Mus musculus: one gene and its partners. The protein of the gene in region 2 interacts with the protein of the main gene of each other region in a pairwise test. Links are inferred from orthologs where the notes say so. Each region holds a gene or a part of one and is shown on either strand. Other genes may lie near its edges.

What was found.
Region 1: the proteins of Smurf1 (region 2) and Rnf11 interact in binary tests that used the Homo sapiens proteins (3 or more experiments, as listed by UniProt). The link is inferred for Mus musculus from reciprocal best matches to the Homo sapiens genes SMURF1 and RNF11.
Region 3: the proteins of Smurf1 (region 2) and Wfs1 interact in binary tests that used the Homo sapiens proteins (3 or more experiments, as listed by UniProt). The link is inferred for Mus musculus from reciprocal best matches to the Homo sapiens genes SMURF1 and WFS1.

What each region holds. Positions count from the first base shown.
Region 1 is NC_000070.6:109,456,006-109,459,505, reverse strand, and holds part of Rnf11 (RING finger protein 11), read left to right. Parts: intron 1-2,438; coding exon 2,439-2,608; intron 2,609-3,500. UniProt on the Homo sapiens protein: Essential component of a ubiquitin-editing protein complex, comprising also TNFAIP3, ITCH and TAX1BP1, that ensures the transient nature of inflammatory signaling pathways. Promotes the association of TNFAIP3 to RIPK1 after TNF stimulation.
Region 2 is NC_000071.6:144,963,031-144,967,307, reverse strand, and holds the start of Smurf1 (E3 ubiquitin-protein ligase SMURF1), read left to right. Parts: upstream 1-1,477; 5' UTR 1,478-1,752; coding exon 1,753-1,807; intron 1,808-4,277. UniProt on the Homo sapiens protein: E3 ubiquitin-protein ligase that acts as a negative regulator of BMP signaling pathway. Mediates ubiquitination and degradation of SMAD1 and SMAD5, 2 receptor-regulated SMADs specific for the BMP pathway.
Region 3 is NC_000071.6:36,965,604-36,968,793, reverse strand, and holds the end of Wfs1 (wolframin), read left to right. Parts: intron 1-115; coding exon 116-1,921; 3' UTR 1,922-2,690; downstream 2,691-3,190. UniProt on the Homo sapiens protein: Participates in the regulation of cellular Ca(2+) homeostasis, at least partly, by modulating the filling state of the endoplasmic reticulum Ca(2+) store.

The DNA.
Region 1 (3,500 bases), on a different chromosome or scaffold from region 2:
AGTTCAATCCCCCAGACCTACATAGTGGAAAGAAAGTACCAACCACATTGTTCTTAGACTTCAAACACACTAAATACAGAAATACAAGTAAAGAGCAAAAATATTTGGTAGAATAGAGGGAAAAGAAGAATCTAAAGGAATCAGAGGATGACTAACCTCTTGTCATTCTGTTTGTATATCCACCTTGGGAGACTTAAGTGAGGTCATCATAGAGTGGGCTGGGCACTGAGACCCTGGATTATGTATTTTCCTTGCCTATTATTTATGTTTATTTACTTGAGACATATTTTCACAATGTATCCCTGGCTAGCCTAGAACTTGGTATGTAAATCAGGCTAGTCTCAAGCTAGAAGCAATCTTCTTGTCACTACTTCCCCCGAATTAGGATTATAGGTATGAACCGTACCACCTGGCAGTATAACATTCTTTAAAAACAGACGAAAAAGAATATATATGTCTTCTGGTTTGCTGGTGTGGAACTTTAAGGCTCAGGTATTAAGTAATATGCTAAAATTATACTTAAGTGCCAGGTCTGAACTTCTATGAAATGCATTTTCTTTTTCTATTCTTCTCTGTCATTAACCTAGAGAAACAACATGGAAATTCTCAGTTGAGAAGGTTGTTGAAGGAGCAGAAATATAGTTTGCTTTTGGACCCAAGTTAAATCTAAAGCCAAGTATTGTCATTTAGAGAAGAAATAACTGATTGTAATTTATATCAGGTTTTCCCTTTTGCTTTTATTATGCCTTAGTCCAAATCATTTCAAAATTCTGATATGTGATATAGATAGGAATGACATAAAATTTCAGTAATGTGTTTTATAATATTTGAGTTGGAATTATGTGCCTGGGGCAAAGATAATTGCTGTATTAGTCCAAATGCAATGAACTATCTTTGTATTCAAAGAAAAGGTTACAGCTAGTGTACCAAAGTACCCAGTCTCTAAGTATGTTTTGGCCTGTATCCCTACTGGTGTTTTATGTGTATAAAGACTCTTGTTGAAGGCTGGTGTTTCTGTTAATCAGCAGTTTAGATTTCTTAACTGGTTTATAATTATCTTTTTTGTGCTGTTTCCTTGTACATAGGAAATGATTAATTGGTAAACATTTAAGGTTTATATTGAGGTAGGAGGAGGTGGCAGAAGTGAGCACCAATATTAGTCACTCCTAAAAATATACTTCCAAAACAAAACCAAAAGACTCAGTGTTGTGGCTTGGACTCAAGCTTTAATTAGATATTTAACAATGGCCTAAAGATTCAGGAAATGTTTGATACAATAAACTGAAATGAAACCCCGAGGAAAGTAGATGGGTAATACTTGTAGTTATTAGGTAACATTTTAGTAGACTGTTTATTCTATCAGATGTTTTATACAGAGGAGCAGAGCCTGTGCTGAGGTAGTTTGCTTTTAATTCCAGCAGAGGCAGGTGGATACCATGGTCTGCATAGAGAGCCTTTGGCTTAAAAGAAACTGGAACAAATACCAACATAGTCCTTCTCATAAATGATTGTATAAATTTACTTTGACTATAGTTTAGTGAATCTTTGTTCTCAATTTTTTGAGTCAGGGTCTCAATGTATAGCTCAGGCTGGTATCCAAAGCCTTTGATTCTTCAGTCTCTTCTGTATCTACAGTGTTGGGATTTGAGATGTATGGAACCAGTACAGTTTTGAAATGATGTTCCGGTCGGGCAGTGGTGGCTAACGCCTTTAATCTCAGCACTTGGGAGACAGAGGCAGGCCTGGTCTACAGAGTGAGTTCCAGGACAGCCAGGGCTACACAGAGAAACCCTGTCTCGAACCCCACCCCCAACAAAACAAACAAAAAACAAAAAAAGAAATGATTTTCTGCAGTCAGAGCAGCAGAGTTGTAATCCTAGCTGATGCATACTTAAGCATTCATGTGCATTGTGCAGTACTGAGGCTAACACTTTAATTCCCATTTAACTGTTGCAGTGACCCTCCTTAAACATGAATTGGTGTACCTGGTCAAGATTTTGGGGGGCCAGAGGGATGATTGAGACAGGGTTTCTCTGTGAAGACTAGGCTGTCTTCTAGCTCACAAGAGATCTGCCTGCCTCTGCCTCCACCTCACAAGTGTTGGGATTAAAGGCTTGTGCCACTACCGCCCAGTTTGTACATTAATAATATGGACGATCTTTTTAACTGTAAACCATGAAATTTACTTACTAAATATAAAACTTGGAAAAATTGTGTATAAGATGAAGATGCCAACATTATTAGTTATCGTGGTTAAAGGGTCATTCTCATCTTGATAAGTGTCTAAAATCAATACGATATAGTCATACTGTTCCATTTATCCAACCTCTCACTTATCTGGGGGTTCATTTTCCTTCCCCGACTAAGCCAGTTAATTTAGTACACCGTAGAAAATAAGTTTTAAAATAATCAATTGTTTGTTTCACTTTCATATTTAGGAACAAGTTCCTGTTCCCATCTATCATCCGACACCTAGCCAGACTCGGCTAGCAACTCAGCTGACTGAAGAGGAACAAATTAGAATAGCTCAAAGAATAGGCCTTATACAGCATCTGCCTAAAGGAGTTTATGACCCTGGAAGAGATGGATCAGAAAAAAAGATCCGAGAGTAAGTAGTAATTTTATGTATTTTAGAGATTTGTGTGTAGTTGTGGTTTTTTTTTTTTTTTCCTCTATAATACTGCAGACTGAACCTAGGACCTTGTGCCTGTGCTCCCCTCAGCTTTATTTTCAACTAGAAATGTCAGCTTTTGGAATTTGCTTTTTTCTCATGTTCTTAGGAAGCCTACGGAATTCTGTATTTGAAAACCTGAGTATAGCAATAAAGGAGAATTCCTGCATTCTGACCATTATAGTTGCTAGTTGTCTATTTATGACAGTTGATGATAGTTAAAACCATTTATATAAATGTGATATTTCTAATAGCTTTGTTTTATCAGTTTTCCAAGGAGTTTAAGCCTTTGTAAATAAATAGGAATTAAACCTCTTTTAAACTCTGAGCAAATTAATAGGAATGTTATACCCTCTCCCCCCCTACACACACTAGAGTTTTAGGCACAAGATTTTTACTATAGTCTTATTGAGGGGTGAAAATCTAAACTCTGTAATTGTAGAGGTATAGTTGTTTTAACTTTTCAGAAATACTTGGGGCTGGTGAGATGGCTCAGTGGGTAAGAGCACCCGACTGCTCTTCCAAAGGTCCGAAGTTCAAATCCCAGCAACCACATGGTGGCTCACAACCACCCGTAATGAGATCTGATGCCCTCTTCTGGTGCGTCTGAAGACAGCTACAGTGTACTTACATATAATAAATAAATAAATAAATTAAAAAAAAAAAAAAAGAAATACTTAGCCAGGCGTGGTTGTGCACACCTTTAATCCTAGTATTTGGGAGGTAGAGGCATATGGATTTCTGAGGCCAGCCTGGTCTACACAGCAATCTCTAGGACAGCCAGGACTACATAAAGAAACCCTGTATCAGAAAAAAAAAGAAAAAGTGA
Region 2 (4,277 bases):
GGATCACTCAAACTCACCAGCACACCTGTACCGTGGGGCTGGAGAGATGCTGAACAGTTAGGAGCACACGTTGCTCTTCCAGAGGACCTAAGTTCAGTTCCCAGCACCCACACGGTGGCTCACAAACACCCGCTCCAGATCCAGCACCTTGTGATGCACACATACAAACACGCACACAAAACACTCCTATATAGGTAACAGAAATATCTAAAAAAAAGCCTCACAAAACTTAGCTTCTTGTGCTTGCACCATCGAACACCTTACCAATGGTGCTATTCTCCCAACACCAATCAAAGACTCCTAAATGGATTTATTCCAACCTAGGGTCTCGCTCTCAGCGACAACGGCTTAGAAATGGAAGCAGAGTTAGAGTCTGGATTAACCGTTGCCCATACACGATCCTATTCTTAAGATATTTTCCCTCCATTATTAAATAGTCTGGGCTGCACAGGCTCATAAAACCAAACTGCCTAGGACAAGAACAGGTACAAGCCTGTAATCCCTGCGCTCCGGAGGCTGAGTAGGGGGAATCACAGTTTTGAGGTCAGCCTCAGCTACAGATGAGCCCCTGTCTCCAAAGAGGGTGGTCAAACGCTGTGGGTAGCTGGTTCTAAGGAAGAACCATAGAGTCTGCCCATGAAGTGAATTAAGTTCAGGTCGGATGGGAGTTTGGTAAATATACGCAGCCTTTTCAAGAACCTTTTATTTCCTCTCTAGAATGCGTTACCATAGAGATTGGTTTGCTTGCTGGGGAAAGAAAGCCCGGCTTTTACTTTTTACCGGCCTGACACTCTGGGGGTTTGGGGGTGGGTTCATCAGAAGGCAGGGACTCGAAAACCCGACTGCTTACTTCTCTGGGTTAGTTCAGTTGCATGCAGGTTCCTATCCACAAAACCACCACCTCTCCATTTACATCCTTCATCTTGTTTAGCTGGTCCATATGCCGCACTTCCTCTGAGTCTAGCCACTTTGTCAATCGAATACACCAGTTGCACAGGGCACATCCGACACTCGATCACTGCGGGAAGTCTTCCCTTGGAACTTGCAGGATCTAGTGTGTACCCACGCGCGCACGCGCGCACGGTTCTTGGGGTTTCATGCAACACCCTGGCTTCCATCAGGAGCTTTGAAAAGTCCGACACTGAAGAAACAATCGGTTCCCCCAAATCGTCGCACAAGCAAATCAGTTGGTTCTGAGATTGTGACTAAGAACCAGCTCCGACTGCGCCGCTTGTGTGTGCGTGTGTGTCGTCTACGTGTGTGGGGCGGTGGTGGCCACGGTGGTGTCTGTTTCAAGGCTCCCCGCCGGCTGCAGGAACCTTGCAGCTCCCCCAGACCCCCTTGCGCGCGCCCAGGACAAGCGCGGTCCGCGTAGCGCCGTGCTCGGGCGCGCGCACGCACGCACACACGCAAGCGCGAGGCCGCGCAGGGCCGGGCCGGCAAGGCGGCGGGCGCGCGCAGCTCGGGAGGCGGCGGCGGAAGCAGCGAGGGCGGCGGGCGTCCGGCTGCGAGCGCGGCGGCTCCGGGCTGGGCCAGCCAGGGGCGGCTCCTGGCGGCGGCGCGGCCGAGCGCTCGGTTCTACGGTTCCAGCCCGTGGTCTCCGGCCCAACGCCTGCGCCGCGCACTCGGCGTCCCGGCTCGGACCCCGGCGCCCAGCCCGTGGCCGTAACCTTGAGGCGGCGGCGGGGCCGGGCCGGGCCGGGCTGGGGGGCGGCGGCACTGGATCCGAGGCCGGCCGGCCGCTGGCGGGAGATGTCGAACCCCGGGACCCGTAGGAACGGCTCCAGCATCAAGATCCGTCTGACAGGTAGGCACGACAGGGCCGCGGCCCTCGCGCCCCTAGACTGTCCCAGGGACCCTGCGGACTCCCGCCCCGCCCCCTCCCCCCCCCCCCCCCTTGCACCGGCCGTTGTCCCGGGACCGCTGCACCCCCTACGGCGTGCGCCCCTCGCTCGCGCTCCCGGCCCCGCCCCCCGGGTGCTCTGCAGGCGCCGCCCCTGCCGCCCCGTCCCCTCCCTCTGCATCAGGGCCCGCCCCTGGCACATCAGGACACGCCCCGCTGCGGCAGCCCCGCCCTCCCTCTGCATCAAGCCACGCCTCTCCGATCTGCAGACTCGCCCCCTTAACTAGGCTCAGCCCTCGACTCTTCTGCAGACTCCCCCTCCCCCTCACAGGCTCCACCCCTTGACTACTTTGTAGCTTTGGCGACCCGCCCTATGGCTCCTCCCTCTGCATCATTCCCCGCCCCCTGCTTGCTCTGCAGGCCCAGGCAGCTGCCTTTTCTGCATTAAGCCTGGCTTGCTGTTCATCCCTCTATCATAGATTCCACCCCTGTGGCTGATTCTCTTGGCCCCGCCTCTGGCTCCTTTCTCTTCAGGTTCTTGCCTATCCCCCCCTGCCCACACTACTCTATCTGCCCACACCTACCATCAGTTGCATATGGGCCACGCCCCCTAGCTTTCTCCCTCTGCCCCTAACTTTACCCTTCTGGATCAGGTCCCGCCCCCTAGCTCCTCCACTACAGGACTCCCCCCCCCCCTCTCCTTTCTGCCCCACACCTACCCTCAGCTGCATATAGGTACCACCCCTCGGGGCCCTCCACCGGTCCCCTCTAGTGTCCTCTCTTGACACCGCCCCAGCACCCTCTGATCCACACCTACCCCCCTGCCTGCTTTTCTTCAGGCCTTGTACATAGCCACACACCTTTCAACTTCATGTAGATCCCGCCCCCTCGCTGCACCTCCACCGCTCTTTCCACCCCTACCTCACATTTTCATCATCCATCTCTTCACTCTCATCCTCCTTCTACCTGCTGTTCCCCTCTAGGCCCACCCCTCACCATCCTCCCGCCTGTCCCCTCCCTCTTTTCCCTTGCAGCTTCTCATCACTTCATCTCTCTCTCCTTTCTTTCTTCCCACTCTCTCACATGAACATTATCTACCTTCTCCCTTCTCTCTCTGGGTCCCTTCGAATCATCCCACCCCCTACTCGTTTGCCTTGCTTCTCTTTGCTCTCCCACCGCCTCACCCACTCCTCATCTCCATCTCTCTAGTTTCCCCTCTCCTCTCTTGGCTCCGCCCCCTCTACTGTTTTCAGCCACGCCCCCGTCCCTGCTTGATCCCGCCCTCACTTATCTTTCAGTCCCGCCCACTCGCTTCTGTCTTACAGCCTCCACCCTTAAGTCGCAAATTCCTCAATCCTGTCTGGGACCAAACGTCTGTCTCCCAGTCTTGTTCTCACTTCCCCCACCTCATCAGTGGTCCAGACCTCTCCAGTCTAGTCCACTTCCGTTCTCCCCGAGGCCAGGCCACTTAGTACTCCAGAGACGAGTCCTTGGTTCCTACCTCCTCTGCAATGCCTTCACCCCTCGCCACATCCTTGAGTCCCCCCTCCCACACAAGCTGAGCTGTGGCAGCTGCTCTAGTGCAAGGCGCCTTGTTCCCCTCAGTCTTCAGAGGAATGTTCAGGTTTGCTAAGTGCTCTGTAGTGCCACCTTCAAAGGTGAGCGCAGAGCTTGCTGTGGGTCTGACAGCAGCAGGGCAGTTTGCATGCAGGCAAGGGGAGAGCTCTCTGTCATAGCTGTCCCTCTTCGTGGGTCCGGAGTCTGGACCACTGCCCTCAGCTTCCTCTTTCTTTCTCCCTCTCCTTTCTCTGCAGACCTTACCAGTGTGAATCCATCCCTAAGGCTGCATGCATGGCAGGGTTGGCAGAGGGCCTGCTTTGGGGCTTTCCAGCTCAGAAGAGGAAATACATCGTTAAGTCTGAGGCCTTGCAGGGAGTTCCCTGGATTTTTCTGTTCCAAGGCAGTGTGTTGGGGACTAAGACTTCTGCTTGTCCTTTCAGGCAGAGCCTTAGGGTAAGACCTGTGATCATGGTGGAAATTCTTGGAAAGTTTCTTGTGTTTAAGAAAAGATTGATAGTTTTCCCTGAAGATGTGGGAGCAGATAACGGTGTTTGCACTAGAACCCAGACCCCGGTCATATTGGCCATCTTTGCCTCTGGACAGATACTGGAAGAGACTTGCTCAGTGGACATGCGAAGGGCATGTGTTAGTTAGGAAGTTAGGTTCTTTGACAGTCATCTTTGGGAAAGTTTGCTGCTCATTGACACTGGGCTATGACTTCAGATATGATCCAGGTTGCTTTCAGCCTTCCCGCTAAAGTGACTGACTTGGGGAGTTTCAGTAGAAATGAGATCAGTGGCTTAATTGTGGAATTTGTGGCAGGTATCTATTAACAGATCCTGGTCAACTGGTTAATTTTGGTATTGCAGACTTG
Region 3 (3,190 bases), about 110 Mb from region 2:
AGGAGTGGGAAAGTCTAGGGTGTGGCTTTGTACAGAACCAGGGAACTAGAGGCAGTCATGTTAGATGCCAAGGGGCTCCTGTCCCAGTTGGTTTCCGCTCTCTGTCCCCCACTAGGTGGTGAAGTACCCTTTACACGCCATCATGGAGATCAAAGAGTACCTGATTGACGTAGCCTCCAAGGCCGGCATGCACTGGCTCTCCACCATTGTACCCACCCATCACATCAACGCCCTCATCTTCTTCTTCATCATCAGCAACCTAACCATCGACTTCTTCGCCTTCTTCATCCCCCTGGTGGTCTTCTATCTGTCCTTTGTGTCCATGGTCATCTGCACGCTCAAGGTGTTCCAGGACAGCAAGGCCTGGGAGAACTTCCGTACTCTCACCGACCTGCTGCTGCGCTTCGAGCCCAACCTAGACGTGGAGCAGGCCGAAGTGAACTTCGGCTGGAACCACCTGGAGCCCTACATCCACTTCCTACTGTCAGTCGTCTTTGTCATCTTCTCCTTCCCGCTGGCCAGCAAGGACTGCATCCCCTGCTCGGAGCTGGCCGTCATCTCCACCTTCTTCACGGTGACCAGCTACATGAGCCTGAGCAGCTCTGCTGAGCCCTATACCAGGCGTGCCCTGGTCACCGAGGTGGCTGCCGGCTTGCTGTCCCTTCTGCCCACCGTGCCTGTGGACTGGCGCTTCCTGAAAGTACTCGGCCAGACTTTCTTCACTGTGCCCGTTGGCCACTTCATCATCCTCAACGTCAGCCTCCCCTGCCTGCTCTATGTCTATCTCTTTTACCTCTTCTTCCGCATGGCCCAGCTGAGGAACTTCAAGGGCACTTATTGCTACCTGGTGCCCTACCTGGTGTGCTTCATGTGGTGTGAACTGTCCGTGGTCATCCTGCTCCAGTCTACCGGCCTGGGCTTGGTCCGGGCCTCCATCGGCTACTTCCTCTTCCTCTTTGCCCTCCCCATCCTGGTGGCTGGCCTCGCCTTGATGGGCACGGTGCAGTTTGCCCGATGGTTCCTGTCGCTGGACCTCACCAAGATCATGGTCACCACGGTGATCTGCGGCGTACCCCTGCTTTTCCGTTGGTGGACCAAGGCCAACTTCTCAGTGATGGGGATGGTCAAGTCCCTGACGAAGAGCTCCATGGTGAAGCTCATTCTGGTGTGGCTAACGGCCATCCTGCTCTTCTGCTGGTTCTACGTGTACCGCTCAGAAGGCATGAAGGTCTACAACTCCACACTCACCTGGCAGCAATATGGCTTCCTATGTGGGCCCCGGGCCTGGAAGGAAACTAACATGGCCCGGACCCAGATCCTGTGCAGCCACCTGGAGGGCCACAGGGTCACGTGGACAGGCCGCTTCAAGTATGTCCGAGTGACCGAGATCGACAACAGTGCTGAGTCGGCCATCAACATGCTCCCGTTCTTCCTGGGCGATTGGATGCGCTGCCTGTATGGCGAGGCCTACCCATCTTGTAGCTCTGGTAACACGTCCACGGCAGAGGAGGAGCTCTGCCGTCTCAAGCAGCTGGCCAAGCACCCCTGCCACATCAAGAAGTTTGACCGCTACAAATTTGAGATCACAGTGGGCATGCCCTTTGGCACCAACGGCAACCGCGGCCATGAAGAGGACGACATCACCAAGGACATTGTTCTCCGTGCCAGCAGCGAGTTCAAGGACGTGCTGCTGAACCTGCGCCAGGGGAGCCTCATAGAGTTCAGCACCATCCTCGAGGGCCGCCTGGGTAGCAAGTGGCCCGTCTTCGAGCTCAAGGCCATCAGCTGCCTCAACTGCATGACGCAGCTGTCACCTGCCCGGAGGCACGTGAAGATCGAACAGGACTGGCGTAGCACAGTGCACGGTGCCCTCAAGTTTGCCTTCGACTTCTTCTTCTTCCCATTCCTGTCTGCCGCCTGAGGAGCGTCCGCCGCTGGAGGAGGCTTTGGTGCATGTTGCTGTGAAGTCCTTCCGTGTGGCCACCCAGCCAGCTGGAGCAGCACTGTGCCGTGTGTGTGTGTGTGTGTGTGTGTGTGTGTGTGTGTATGTGTATTCTGCTCTCGTGTGGTTAGATCCCAGGCTCTCTGCTCACCTGTAGATCGCAGATCCTGCTGGAGGGTGGTTCTCTTTAGCACTGTCCACTTTGAATGCCGAGTGTCATAAGAAATTGCATGCTATCTTCACTCACAATCCTGCCCTTCCCTCACAGAGCTGGAACTCCAAGCCTGGCCCCAAAGACCCTCCATCACGAAGAGCACTTTACAGATAAGAATCTTCCTCCCCAGTTCTTCATGCCTCCTTCCTGCCCTTTCCTTACTTTGTGTTGGATTTGTTTTCCAAATATGTGTGTATGTAGACTTCATGGTAGTGTTTCTTATTTATTTGGTTGCTGCTAAGCCTTGACAGTGGTTCACCTTCCTGGGCTGTCCCCAGTGGTCACGTCCTGCCTGGCTTCCTACTTGGGTATAGCATGTCCAAACTGGGCTCTGAACACTACAGCCTGCCTTGGAGCTGGCCTATCTCTGGGGGTGTTAGAGAGTTTGTGGGGATCTCTTCTGAGTACCCCAGGACTTGGGAAATAATGCAAGAGTATCCCTTTCAGTACATAGGTAAGCTTGGCTATGTTCAATATGGCAGAGCCAAAAGCCAAGTTCTAAGGCAGCCGAAATAAAAAGCTTTGAAACCTATAGCCTTGCCTTCTGGTTTGATTACAGGGAGCCTTGTCTGGTTGTGTGTGTGTGTGTGTGTATGTGTGTGTGTGTGTGTGTGTGTGTGTGTGTGTGTGTGTGTGTGTTCACACGCGCGCTCGAGCAACATAGTATGTATGAACCCAGATTCAGTGAAAATGTGCCAGTTGGGTGACTGAGGATAGAACTGATATCCCGCACAGTTGACACCATCTGCTATATAGCTGATTGGCACCATCCAGGTGTGAGGGTCCCCGAGGTCGCAGCAGTAACAGCACATGGCTGTTGACCCTGGCCTTGGGGTGAAAAGTGCTTTCTTTGTGTCGAGGATCACTGAAACCCAGGTCACCAATTGGGTCGTCTGCATGAGTCACAGTCTGGGGTTTGTGCTGCTCTCTTCAGTCACGTGTGGTAATTCCACACGGGCATAATCAGGGTTTGTCATGGGGACTGGAAGAGTTATGGTGCTGGGCCGGTTTCATCCCTGTTACTGTGGCAAACA